Coturnix japonica: one gene and its partners. The protein of the gene in region 3 purifies or fractionates together with the protein of the main gene of each other region. This does not show direct contact. Links are inferred from orthologs where the notes say so. Each region holds a gene or a part of one and is shown on either strand. Other genes may lie near its edges.

Evidence for each region.
Region 1: the proteins of AP2M1 (region 3) and RALBP1 purify together in Homo sapiens (affinity purification with mass spectrometry; 3 studies listed by BioGRID and IntAct, counting the BioPlex papers as one, with this or other methods). This does not show direct contact. The link is inferred for Coturnix japonica from reciprocal best matches to the Homo sapiens genes AP2M1 and RALBP1.
Region 2: the proteins of AP2M1 (region 3) and ANKRD28 purify together in Homo sapiens (affinity purification with mass spectrometry; 3 studies listed by BioGRID and IntAct, counting the BioPlex papers as one, with this or other methods). This does not show direct contact. The link is inferred for Coturnix japonica from reciprocal best matches to the Homo sapiens genes AP2M1 and ANKRD28.
Region 4: the proteins of AP2M1 (region 3) and NECAP1 purify together in Homo sapiens (affinity purification with mass spectrometry; 3 studies listed by BioGRID and IntAct, counting the BioPlex papers as one, with this or other methods). This does not show direct contact. The link is inferred for Coturnix japonica from reciprocal best matches to the Homo sapiens genes AP2M1 and NECAP1.

What each region holds. Positions count from the first base shown.
Region 1 is NC_029517.1:88,800,210-88,803,709, forward strand, and holds part of RALBP1 (ralA-binding protein 1), read right to left. Parts: intron 1,776-3,500; 5' UTR 1,726-1,775; coding exon 1,482-1,725; intron 1-1,481. UniProt on the Homo sapiens protein: Multifunctional protein that functions as a downstream effector of RALA and RALB. As a GTPase-activating protein/GAP can inactivate CDC42 and RAC1 by stimulating their GTPase activity.
Region 2 is NC_029517.1:31,175,530-31,179,029, reverse strand, and holds part of ANKRD28 (serine/threonine-protein phosphatase 6 regulatory ankyrin repeat subunit A), read left to right. Parts: intron 1-707; coding exon 708-771; intron 772-1,981; coding exon 1,982-2,050; intron 2,051-3,311; coding exon 3,312-3,452; intron 3,453-3,500. UniProt on the Homo sapiens protein: Regulatory subunit of protein phosphatase 6 (PP6) that may be involved in the recognition of phosphoprotein substrates. Involved in the PP6-mediated dephosphorylation of NFKBIE opposing its degradation in response to TNF-alpha.
Region 3 is NC_029524.1:13,826,350-13,830,486, reverse strand, and holds the start of AP2M1 (AP-2 complex subunit mu), read right to left. Parts: upstream 2,801-4,137; 5' UTR 2,673-2,800; intron 1-2,672.
Region 4 is NC_029516.1:68,443,439-68,446,074, reverse strand, and holds part of NECAP1 (adaptin ear-binding coat-associated protein 1), read left to right. Parts: intron 1-207; coding exon 208-289; intron 290-964; coding exon 965-1,073; intron 1,074-1,157; coding exon 1,158-1,344; intron 1,345-2,384; coding exon 2,385-2,478; intron 2,479-2,602; coding exon 2,603-2,636. UniProt on the Homo sapiens protein: Involved in endocytosis.

The DNA of each region.
Region 1 (3,500 bases), on a different chromosome or scaffold from region 3:
GATCTGCATGTACTTGCTGGAGTAGCATTTTCCCTCTTCAGCCTTCAGTCTGACTACTGCCATGAGACACACAGACTACACCACAAAGAAAGCCACACTGTATATAACGCTGATCTCTCACAGTTCTTAATTCAGAGGCATAAGTTCAGAGGGCAGAACTGCAGCACTGCACTGCAAAGGCTGATATGCGAAGAGGAAAAAAGCCCAAAAGACAATGGCTTTATTTTAGACCCAACTAATACAGAATTTACCATAGAATCATGGAATGGCCTGGGTTGAAAAGGACCTTAAAAATCATGTAGTTTCAACCCCCCTACCATGGGCAGGGTCACCAACCAGGCTGCCCAGAGTAATTCAGTATTAGTATTAGGCTAATAGTATTTACAAGAGAAAAAACAAGGTACCAGCTTTCTTAAAACACGTAGAAACTTTGGTTGTTAGTTTTAACTGAAGGACAACATGGTTTTGAGTTTCTGTACCTTTTAGAAGGCACAGGCCTTCTAAACTGCGGTAGAAGCAACAATTCCTTCAATCCAGGAAATTGGCTTGATTAAAAGTCATGCAGCAGCTGCAAATTCTTAACAAGAAATTATTTGAATGTGTGCATGCTTATTACAAATGGTCACCATATTCTTTCAAAATGCCATAGCAATAATAGTACTAATTGTGGGCTGTCTCATCGGCTCTGGTATTCCAAGCTCCACTTCTAGCAATTAGTGAGGAACAAGGGCATCCACAACATCCAGCATTTGGGCCATGTAAAAAAGGTGATGTAAAACATGGAAAAGTATCGCGAAGCTTTGTCAAAAAACCAAACAACTCAATTGGGTGGGCTGTGATACTCAGGTTTTAGAGGGTTGGAATTGGATTGGAGAAAACTGCAGGATTAGAATAAACTAAGCAGCTAATGAAAAAAGGATGCAGCTTATTAGTCCTCAATGAGTGGTAGAGTGTGCATACGAAAGCTTGAAATGGTAAGTACTATCAAACATTGAATACACAGGGCACGGAAAAGAAAAGTTAAATGTTGTTTAAACCAACTCTTTCATATTTCAGAATGTACAATTCAGGTCAAACTTCGAGCTTCACTTTAGCTAGTGTTTCAGCTAAGATTTCAAATAGCGTCTATTTGGAAATACACATGGAAATCTCCACTCAGGATCTGAACTGATAATGATATAAGACTATCATGCCAAGTGATTACCAACACTCTGCTAAAGGCTTTACATTAATATGTTTATCAGCAATTCTGGGCATGAGCTCGGTGCCTGTGCAACAAAACAAAAAGGTCTTTTCCATGAAGATAAACAGGTATTGCACAAAGTGTGTTTGTGTAAGTTCACTTCCTTCACACCTAAACAGGTTTAAAGAGAAAGAAAACACAACAAAAACAGAAAAACCAACACTGGGAATACCAGGCAATTTTGAGAAAGCAAAACAGAAAAAGGATTTGAACATGAAATAAGAAGTTGCCCACTCACTTCTTTTTTCTTTCTTTTTAAATTTTCCTTTCTTCTTCCCATGCTCCTTTTCATCATCTGATATTATATCTGGAGGCTCATGCAAGCTGTCATGAGGCGGCGAAGGCTCACCAGTACGGTACAACCCAGGGAATTTTGTAGGGCTGATCTCTTCAGAGCTGGGAGTACGAGCGAGACCCCCACTGTGCTCTACCCGACGGTGTTCACTGGGGCTGCTGGTGGGAGGCAGGAAGCACTCGGTCATTCTGATTCCCTGCTATCAAAGTGAAATCTTCTGCTACCTGTCCATCACACCTGGAGCAGGGGGGAAAAAATGATAAAAAAGAATGTGAAGTCATTTTCAAAGCATTTTGTTTAGAGCTCTACCTTGAAAATGAAACAAACATCGATGCCTTTTACAAGGAATGCTCCACCTGATGTCATGAGGTGATAATAAAACAGAGCAGGCCCTAAGCTTAGTGCTTGTAGAATCTGGGCATGCAGTTAGCTGCCGAGCCATGCTAACACAATAGGAGAGCTGTTATTTCAGCCAGCTTTGCTTTACACCACACCAAACACTACACATTAAGTATCAGAATATATGTTTTACGTTCAAAGCAATTCTTACAAAATTCAGAGGCAGTTTACATGTTATTCATACTGCTGCTCACTGTGAACCAGCTAACTTTACATCACTGAAATAAAATAGGATTGTTTGGAAGCTCAGAGTGTCTGTGAGGACTGCATTTGCACCAAGACCACTTTCATCTTTCTCAAGCATATTTTATAGATGCAAATAAGAACCTGCCTAACCTGCTGCAGTAAGAAAGGGAGGAAAAAAATAGAGTTCTGAAGTCAAATCTATCTTCTAATTATGTTAATGTAAAGTAAAGAAGATAGAACAAGTATAATTGTTTTTTTCCTGGTGTGCAGCAATCACGAGTTCACTTTTGAAGAGGCTACACCAGATCCTCTGCACCCAGATCCTTCCGTGCTGTTTCATAGGGAGCCCTGGTAAAATTAAAACTAAGATGAAAATTACTGACAGAAGCCAATATGTAAATTCCCAGTAATGGAACTCATAAGTAAAGAGCAACTCCTAATGTAGGTGAATTTCAGGAATTCCATGGGACAAGCTATGCCATATGGAATGTCAGCTTTCTGAATTTGGTCTTTTGTATGTGAACACCCATAGAACTCTATTTGGAGCAAGGAGCTGCAGTCCCATGATCATTGTGGGTGCCAGAGTGTCTTACAGTTCTGTGAAAAAGAGAGTAAATCCCAAGGACAGAAAACAGCCATTTCCTATACCACAGAATCACAGAATCACAGAATTGTAGGGGTTGGAAGGGACCTCTAGAGATCATCGAGTCCAACCCCCCTGCCAAAGCAGGCTCCCTACACCACGTCACACAGGTAGGTGTCCAGGCGGGTCTTGAATATCTCCAGAGAAGGAGACTCCACCACCTCCCTGGGCAGCCTGTTCCAGTGCTCTGTCACCCTCACTGTAAAGAAATACCTGCTAATACTTGGATGACAGGATCACATCATAGTTCCATGCTAATTTGAACTTTAATCCAACTTAAGTCTGCTGCCTTGCTGCAGCTTAAAAGCCTGCCAAATCTACTGTAAGACAAATAGAAGGGAAAGCAACCATTTTTAAAGCTGCCAGCTCCATAACCTCCTTGTCTGTGCAGCCATACAAAGTATCACGGCAACCACAAAGAAGACAAATTCAGAAGGAGCTGCTCTGCAGACAAAGGGATCAAGGTGACTGTGTAGCCATTGCCTCAAAAAACAGAATTAAAACATGTTAAGATTGCACAGAAACGCCACATCAGACCTATCTCCATGAGAACCGGATCACTGTAACAATGTATACAGACACAAAGGGCTCAGGCTTCTACAGTAGCCATTAGACTCCGCAGTCATCCCTCCTATTCCTGCAGACATGCTGAGCAAACAACAGTGAACACTTAGCTAAGAAAGACAAACAATCACACACACACAGAATCACAGAATGACCCGGGTTGGAAGGGA
Region 2 (3,500 bases), on a different chromosome or scaffold from region 3:
CTGGACGTGCCATTTAGCTGAGACGTTTGAGGTGTACCATTTGTTTTATTTGACTGTGTAGACTTGACTTCTGCTACAGCTTTCTCTTCAGATACCCATCTTAAAAACAAAGATAAGTTTGACCAATCAGTTTTTAGTTACTTAATTAATAATGCACAAAGGACAGTCTTTCTCATAGAAACGTCAGGGCAAAGTTAAGGCTTAAATGGTAACTCTAAGTATGGATCTCCAGCTTAGTGAAGGTCTTTGCCTGAGACTAGAGAGCTAAAATGAAGGATGAAATGTTAAGTTGCTTCTGGATTTGATAGTGTTGATAGCTCCCTCTTTATGAAAAAAATAAAAATTATCTAGGGAACATGTAGAAATTCTAGCTTATTCTTAAGTTTTCCTATTATCGTCATGGATATTATGTCCAGTAGTAAATGATACAGAAGTATTAGCAGTTAAATAGATAAGGAACAACATAGCTTCTTGCCTCAATGCTGCAAATTGTTGTACTTTTTCCTTTTCAGTTTTATTTGAATGTGCTTTTCAAAACACTGCAAATAACAAGAACTAGTTTCAAATGAATCTTGTTTTCAGTGCCTCAGAGCTTCTTCTGAAGTAGCTGCTAAGTTTGCTTTGCAAGCATTTCTCTTAAGGGTAGATGAGAACAGTTTTGTGAAAGCCTGTGTTGCATAACTGCTTTACAAATACTTGATTTATAGGTTTTGACATAGACACACCAGATGACTTTGGCAGAACTTGTCTTCACGCAGCTGCAGCTGGAGGGTATGTAAAAAGCATTCATGCCTTTATTTTTAGTGCTCATTTTTTAATTGCTGACCATTCCTTTTTTATTATTCTTTCTTCTTTGCATTTCTCCTATGGAATTATGTAAATGCAAAACTAATTTCAAGATGGATTCCATCTACAAGCAATAAAAATTAATTATTCAGCTCTGTAAGTAATTACTGGAGTTCAGTGTCCAGGTATCATCAGCTTTATATTAGGTTTATGCTTGGGGATGAACTGGATTTTATTTTAATTTCCCGTGGGTGATGATACAGCTGCAAAGATGTCGTGCCCTTCTAGGTCACCACAGGACATGAGGTGAACAGCAACTTTGGGAAATACATTTTTACTGTATCCAGAAACAAGAGATCAATCAAGCAAAATTAAAAGTCATAATTAAATTCCAGAGTTTAGGTGGATGAAGTGGTCAGAACTACTTGTTCATCACTTGAGTTGTGATCTATATTGATTATTGTTATTGCATTGTAGGTTATCTATAGCAGCTACTCAAAATTGCCTGGAAGAACTGGGTAATAAATCTCATGATACACTTTGTGGGACACAAAAACTCCATTATAATGATATTTTCATTTTCTATTTCAATGTTAATTAAGTAATACTGCTAAATAATCATTCTTAGTGAAAAGTTACTCTATAGGTACATTCTTGTTACAAATGATTAAGATTAAAATGCTGTCTTTTCATATTAAAACACATGATTTGTGACTCATTCCCTCATTCATCTACAATTTAGAAAAGTTATTAAGATTTTGTTTAAAGGTGCAGTGTTGCACATCTGTTGGTGTGATCAGATTGTACTGAAAATGAATTGCTTAAGTAAAACATTTGCGTTACATTATAACTTACACTTGAGCTTCAGATATATACCTTAAAAACTTGTTTCTGTGTTGGAATCCTGGTAGCAAAAATCATGTGCTGTACAGGTATAATTTTTATTTTATTTTATTTTAAAGAATTGAGTCTCCTATTAGGATTGTTAACGGCCATGTCCTTCTTGGTTTGGTTCTGCAACTGTGAAATACGTATTCAGATTCACAGAAATTAAACTTTTCAAAAGTTTTTGTATAGTTTAGTTTTAATAAGAATACCATCTTCAGATGTTTTCATAGCAGTTCTGGTAGTTGTAACGGTCAATATTAAGAAACTGTAATCTGCAATCACAAGCAGTATTGCATTATTTTAATAGGAATTTGGAGTGCCTAAATCTTCTGCTGAATACTGGTGCAGACTTCAACAAAAAGGACAGATTCGGGAGGTAAGAGAGTTTAGAATTTTATGTTTTGAAGGGTTTTTAAAGTGTTATAAAATGCATATTGATATGTGGTCAAACCTGTTCATTTCAGTTTATATGTTTTAAACAGTAATTTCCCTTAAAGTCTGCTTCAGCATATGTTATAGAAAATTGCAGACATATATATATATTTAGGTAGGTGCTCAGTCTTGTTTTTAAAGTGCATATTACATACTCAGCTGTAGTGTTACGAGCCTTCGCTGCTTAGAACATGAACGTAATGAGTTTGTTTCACTCATTCAAGGACATTAGCAATGTTTTCCAAATAATATATCAGACTGTAAGTTTGTTACTGTTTGTGAAGGGTTTTTCTTTAGTTAAAAGTCCAAAGTTTTATTACAACTTCCTCATCTTCCTCACATTATATCCATCTGTTACTGTTCCTTTCCTCATTTGTGCTCAGTACTTGTTTGGAATGACATTAATTTCTGTTTTTAGTGTAGAATTATTTAAGGTCATATTGCAAGATCACTACTTGTGCAGAATCCTGCATGACATCTTGAAATCATTGCATTACTCATGCACTACTCCTGCCATTCACATCCATTTGGAAGTGCCTTCCACCCTTAAAATGGAGAAATTTGTAGTAGCAATCAGTTTTTATGAACAGAAACAGAAATTCTTTATCATTGTGGTGCTAAACTGCTATTTCGAGAACTGAAGATAGAATAAGTTTCCTTTGATATGATTCTTCGATATCAGTATTTCAGTACGTCGTGCTTTTGTTAGAGGGAAGCGGTGTATATTTTCAAGATCTTTCTTTAACATTACCTCTGAAACGTTATTGTAGTAAAAAATCCTGCCTGCCTCTATTATCTAAATATGCAGAAAATATTGACTTGCTAACTGTTGTATTTTGACCTTGTTTAGTTGCTGCGCAGTTCTTGAATTTGTCCATATTTTTCACATAGTTGGAAGTACCTACTTAACCACTAATAATGTCTAATGTAAACTGTTTTTCTCTGTACGTTTAAACAAGAAATTTCATATAGAACTTCTCATACCACAGTGTGTGGTGGCTGACAGATATTCCTAGATAGTCTGTGTTATTAAATGGCCCCTCAAAGATAATTCTTAATATTGTATTTATGTGTAACTTCGCTGCAGAGATTTGCTAAAAAGGGAAAGGAGGATATAAGTTTTATTTTCATTTGCATTTTCTGTCTCTCTAGTATTATTTTGCTGGTATTTACCTTTGTACTTTTTATTCAAATGTGTACTAAAGAACTCCACTCCATTATGCTGCTGCCAATTGTAATTATCAGTGCCTGTTTGCCCTTGTGGGATCTGGAGCTAGTGTGAACGACCTTGATGAGAGGGGTTGTACACCTCTGCACTATGCAGCCGCATCAGACACAGATGGAAAGTAAGTGTGGCATGCTTTGTCCTACAGAAATTATCTTTAGAAACATCT
Region 3 (4,137 bases):
TTGGTAGCAAAGTCACCATCTTAAAAGTCTGCTACAAAAAGGATCGTGTACAAAAACAAACTGCTGGGATGTGTGTTTGAATGCATGACAGCTCTAATGCCGGGTGTTCCTTTAAAAGCCAGACTTTGCCCTTTCACACCTACATTGTGCCACGCACTTGGAACGCAGCTCAGCAAAGCAGTGTCCTGATGCCAGGCTGTCAGCAGCTTCAATTCTGAGGTGCAGCATGTGGCTGACCTGGGAGCACAGACACAATGCACTAAGTGCAGCATCCACACCAGAAGAAAAACACCTTCCTGGAATTTCCTTGCAGCCCTGATATCACCTTGAATGAAAAGAAGAGCGTTTATTACGTACAGAGTCCATCTTGGAAGCAGCAGCCACAAGTCAGTCGATAAGCTGGCACAGAGCACCAACCCATTTAGCAGTCTATTAAAAGAAAGTTTGGGTTCAGACTTAACAGTAAGTAAGACTTCTGTGCATTAGCGAGCTTATCCAGCTAAGCAGTTTGAGGTACATTAGCTGCTGGAGCTCTCATCCAGGAAGAAGCCAGGAGAGGTGCTGCAGCTCTCCCAGGACCAAGGGCAAACCAACTGTAACGGTTTGTGCATTCCAGCAGTCACTGTGATCTTGGACAAATGACAGCAGTAGAAGCAGGAGGCGGATTAGTCAGGCTGCTCTGGCAAACAAGCTATTTAAGAAACTAGTCTTTTCAAGCTAGCACTAGCTGTTATCAAACCGACAGGCTTAAGGCTTACCTCGAATGTCATCACGCAGCAGCTAATCTGAGCACCTAAGCTTTGCTTATAGCGCTGCATTAGCCACTGTCCAGGAGGCCACGGGCCACACCTGGTTTTAAAGAAGAGTAGCCGCAATCCTGGGGAACACAGGCCGTGTAATTTAATTAAGACACATAATGTGAGCTAAAGAGCTCCCGAGATAAGCCCATCGGTGTCAGAGGAAGCGTTCCAATTTTAAACCCAATCCCACAAATCCCCACAAGCAGTGGGCAGGAAGAGAAGCACGTTGAACACTAAGCAGGCTCCCCTCCTACAGCCTCTGCGTGCCGTGCTGCACGCCATCAGCTTATAGAGGATGAGAGAAACCCTGACACAGGGAAACACGACAGGCCTCGTTATTAAAGCACCACACAGCCCTCCAGCTTAGAGCATATTCACAGCCTTCAGCTGTACAAGCTCAGGAAACTGATGCAAGACACTGTGCTGCACTAGATTAGCTTCATCTCACCTCTGCACCAAGAGGCCAAGAAAAGTTTAACCAGGGTCACGTGAAGCAAACAAAAAGACACACACAAACCCTGAGATAGCCCAGAAAGAATCCTCTATCTCTGCTTCAAAAAGCTGCAGATATGACCCTTTGTACCCTCAAGACTCAGCTCTTCAAAGACCAGGAATGTGCTGTCTCGAGAGAAGGGGAGAAGCCGGCCATAATATCCTATGGAGACATCACATCATATGGAAGAAAATACAGCCCAAAGGACGCCGGGTATCTCTGTCACTAGATGTCAGTAACATGGCTCTGCCCGCAGAAGATGAACGATGCCCCCGCTCTGACAAGGAAAATATGGCAGCAGGCAGCTGGGATGCATCTCATCAGGCTGGAGGTTGTCCCTGCAAGCAACTCACTGGGACAAGTCTAATTTTTACTATAAGGCAAAAAAAAGCAGTAACTGCAGCGCTGCATTCACATTAATGGTGCCCAACAACTTATGTACCCGCATAAGCCTAAATGTGGATACAAATCCAACACAACCAGAGCTCTGAGCTACTGAAGCCACTCAGATGTGCTTATCTGGGAACGTTCCAGGCTCAGATTCCGAAAGCCTTAGGCTAAAAACTCAGGGCAGCTTTGTCATCCTGAAGTGAGGAGAAAACAGAGATCACACAGCTGACGGGGAGTCATTTCCCGGTGGGGCCAGCGATCAGCTGCACAGGGCGACAAACAAGGCAGCTTTTCCTGCAGCTCTGCAGGATCCAAAGCCCAGCCCGAGGAAGGAAGGAAGAGGAACCGCATCCATAGGCGCTGCTGGATAGAGGCCCTCTTTACGCTTCAGCACAGCATCACCAGAGGCGCTCTGCGCCCAGCAGCTTTTCCATAGAGGAAGCTGGAGGTGACAAGCCACGGCCGAGCGAAGCCCCGTCCCATCGGCTGAATGATTCCCGGGGAAGTTCCCGCTGATCCGATTAAAGGACCTTTGTTCGGGCTGACCCGGCACGTAGCCGGGGCCGTTCCCCAGGCTCCGTGTGCCGCACCGAGCCCACCCGACCCCCCAGGGCCGCCGCTCCGACCCCACCGCTCCAAGAAACGCCCGAGCCCGGCGGGTTTAGAGCCGGTCGCATCCCATCCATCCATCCATCCATCCATCCCATCCATCCCATCCATCCCATCCATCCCCCGGGGCCGAGCACAGTCCTGCCGCGCAGCCCCGCCGCCCCGTGAACTGCGGCCGAGCCCCGAGCGCTGAGGGGAGGCGGCCCGGCGCTGTCACAGCCGCACCGAGGAGGCCCGCGGACCCCCGGCCCCGAGCGTTGAGGGAACGGCCGCTGCCCGCCGAACCCCGGCCGGTCACCCAGCCCAACACAGATAGAGCCCCACAGCCCCACAGGGAGCCAAACCAGGCCGCTCGGCCCCATGGCAGCACGCCGCCTCACCTGCCGCCGCCCGCCGCCGCTCGCCGCCCAGCGCCCAAGATGGCGGCTGCCGCCCCCCCGTCCCTCAGCGCCCCCCCTAGCACTGCAGAGCCGCCGCCGCGCATGCGCTGCCCGCGCCCCGCTGGCACTGCGCATGCGTCAAGCGTGGAGGCGGGAAGGACTGATCCGCGCGGTGCATGCTGGGAGATGTAGTCCTGAGGCGCGGACGCGCTGGGAGTTGTAGTTCGTGGGGGACGGCACAGAGCAGCTAGGCCTCAATATGGGGCTGTAAGGGGAGGCCGCCCTCACCCTGCACGGCCCCGCTGGTCCCCACTGCACAGTATGGGCATTTATGGGCATATATGAGGCTGACACCATGCATGGGCACACACATTGTATATCCCAATGGAGAACAGCCAGCACCCCTACACAGCGGGATGTGGCAGGGAGTGGGAAGCAGAATGGTCCAAAACAAAACGCGAGGCAGGAGTCCAATAAAACTATGTTTATAAATAAAAACAAGGAGAATGGTTCTGTTTTTGTAAAATCCAGTGAGTAGGGCAGGGTGAGGAGAGGCAGTGAGAGGGACCAGGGGTTACAGGGGGCAGTTGGGCAGTGCCACCACACTGAGCCCCATGTGCATGGAAAGAGGTGTGAGCAAGCGGGGAGGGCACATGGGGCAGGCTGGAGGGTATAATACAGAGCTCAGGAGTGAAACACATTTTATCTCCAGAGTGTAAGAGAACCACAAACAGAAAGAGTGAAGGAGACAACAGGAGGGCGCTAAGGGAGCATGGACCCACATCTCCTCCCCACGGCCCAGCAGGAGTGGAGAGGAGCAGCTCTGAGCGGCCGTGAGAGGAGGAAAAAGGATGAGGAGGGCTGGAGCAAGTGACCCACAGCTCTGTGTGAGCCCAGAGGAGCTGCAAGCACTGCCCACAAAGCTCACGTCCCTCCCAAGCATCGCACACAGGGAATGGAGCAGGGTAAGGTCAGTGCTGCCCCTCTCTGCACACAAACACTGTGTTCCCCCATAGTGTGCCTTCCCTCACTCACTGGCTGCATTCTCAGCTCTCAAAAAGGTCCCACTGCTGTGTGGTGTTGCAATGGCAGAGCCACAGCTGCCCCAAGGACTGCCCTTGCAAGTGACGGGGGCAAAGAGCAGGGCAGAGGCCCTCTCTAGGCTTCTTTGGGCCAAGTGAGCACTCACCCCATAGCCCTGAATTCTACAAGTCCCATAGGAAGTAAGGCAGGGGGCATGGCCCCAGTGCCAAGGACAGGGCAGGGGGAAGGAGTGCTCTTCCCTAAGGCCGGGGCAAGAAGGGGAGGCAAAGGGCACCATCTCCCCATTCCCCACAGGCAGTGAAGCCCTGGAACATTCAGACATTGGCTGAAAGGCAACTACAAAGGGATTTAAAATTCATGTAAGGCTGGGCCCGGCTCCCCTCTCAGGGCGTCTTCCGCTAGGGGGAGAAAAGCAGCCATC
Region 4 (2,636 bases), on a different chromosome or scaffold from region 3:
GTCCGGGGGCTGGGGAGGAGCATTTGGTTTCTGAGGGTACCACATGGCAGGAGTGCATCCTGTAGGCTAGGAACAGTGACATTCTGTGAGATGCTGATTTCAGCAGTAGATCAATTGGAAGGAGGTAGCACAGAGCGGTTGTTGGAGTGAATGAACACGGGCCCATTCACAGTGCATTTCCAATGACTCCTTCTGTCTCCTTGCTAGGACGAAGTGCTTTTATAGGCATCGGTTTCACAGATCGTGGTGATGCCTTTGACTTCAATGTGTCTTTGCAGGATCACTTCAAGTGAGTTGTGCTTTTCTGGAATGCTATTTTTTCCTCTGGCCCCTGGAATGTGTTGGGTGGTGGTGCTCATTCACTTAGCAGAGGTTTCCTTGGGAAGGACATGAAGCCCTGCTCTGGCACCATTAGGAATGCTTGAATGTATTGCCAACTGTCATGTGAGCTGGGAGTCCTTCAGGGTCTAATCTGGAAGCAATAGGTTTGTTTGGGTTTGAAGAGACTTTTAAGACCATCTAGCTCCAGTCTCCCTGCTGTAGGCAGGAACGCTTCCCACTAGACCAGGTTGCTCAAAGCCCTATCCAAGCTGGCCTTGAACAGCTCCAGGGAGGGAGCATCCTGGGCACCTCCTGTTCCAGTATCTCACTGTACTCACAGTGAGGAATGTCTTCCTGATATCTAATCTGAAGCTACTCTTTTCCTCATCCCGTTGCTGTATGCTCTTCTTTCCTACATACCCTCCTCAGCTTTCCTTCTGGCCCCTGAGTCTTATTCTTAAATCCTATGACACTACAGACAGTCTCTTGGGTTTGTCGTTTTTTGAGCTTTTTGCTGTACTACGCTGGGAGTGGAGGGGTATCTGGTTTGAAAAGGCAAGATAGTTACTTGTCAGGTTGTGGAAAAGAATCACTCTGCTCCTATTTGCCACAGTCTCTTATCTTTCTTCTGTCTTCTTTTTAGGTGGGTGAAGCAGGAAACTGAGATCTCCAAGGAGACCCTGGATGCTGACACACGTCCTAAATTGGATTTAGGGTTTAAGGAAGGGCAGACCATCAAACTGAGCATTGGGGTAAGGAGCCCAGTCAACCCTGTCTCTTTTTCTGGATATTCCAGTAGATAACCTTCCTCACTTGTCCTCTCATTTTTTATATAGAACATGACAACAAAGAAAGGAGGAGCAGCCAAGCCTCGTGTGTCTGGATCAGGGGGCTTAAGTCTGCTGCCACCCCCACCAGGAGGCAAAACTGCAGCCCCTTCGGTCCCTCCTGCTTCTTCCACATCAATTGCCAACCATGTCACACCACCACCCGTACCGAAATCCAGTAACGTGAGCAGTGCAGGTAAATGTTAACATAGAGCAAACAACCTATCAAATGTTAGCAGGCACAAAGAGAGAGAGCAGAGGCCTGTGTCAGGGAAGGGATGTTCAAGTTCATTGTAATATCAACAGAGCAGTTAAAAAAAAACACCGATGAAACTTGATGCACCCTGAGGTCTTTTCCCTCTTTGACCTGAGGATCTCTGTGTTTGTTTAATAATGTTAGCCCCTCGAATAGCATTGTAGCTGTTCTCCTTGCAAAAGGAGAAAACAAATGAAGTGGCCGAAATGACCTGGACAGGTAGATATGGAATTTAAGTACTTGGATTCTTCTGAACTTGTATGTGCTTTAGGGGCACTGGCAGAGCTGTATGGAATGTTCAGAAAAGGAGTGCTCAGTTGCTTGCTTTTTGTAGGGAAATACAAATAGCCCATGGTTGTTGAAAGGTGCAGGAAAAGCACTTCCAGAAAGGCTTTAAACAGGGAAGGAGGTAGCTTTTAGTATGAAGACCAGAAGGTACAAAATATAGTGAGACTGGGCTGTAACAAAGAGGTTGCTGTGTCTTCTGGATGCCGAATTAAATGCATGACCACAACGTAGCACTATTTCTGAATTCATAGATCTATACAGACCTGAGTGAGAAGAAAGCACAAGCTTCTGAATAGGGCTGGGCTGCAGTGTGTCATTTGTACTGATAGCAACTGTTATGATTGCTGTGCTTGTACTGAGTCTAAACCTTAGGTCCCCTCGGAGGAGATAATATGTTATAAACCTGCCAGTTGATAAGCTAGATGGAGGCCTAGTGGTTCCTGAAGACAAAATAACCCTATAGCAGGAGCTGGAGCCTCAGTGAACCTTTGACAAAAAGGGCTGCTGTTAACACAGACTAGGCCCTTAAAAATTCTCTCTTCTTCTGAAGAGCTGGAGTCCATTCAAAGGTTCTGTGCTACTGCATCCAGTAGTTTGTATAACGTGACAGTTTAAATGCCTGCAGGTTGTTTTTGTTTCTTTTTTCCTACTAACTTGACAGATTTCAGATTTTTCCTTTTCTTCTCTCTCAGGTATTCTATTAGACTTAGATGCTCCCGCATATGCATCCAAGACACCAACGTCAACTGCCACAGACGTCTGGGGAGACTTCAACACTGCATCCAGGTAAACTGTGATGGAGGGGACTGTGCACAGGAAGGGTGACATTCTAATGTGTGCTGAAGGAGCAGTGAGTTAACAGGCTTTCTTAGGGGTACACGTTTGATTTTTCTTTCTTTCTTTCTTTCAGTGGTGTTCCTAATCAGGCTCCTCAGCAGTCCAAC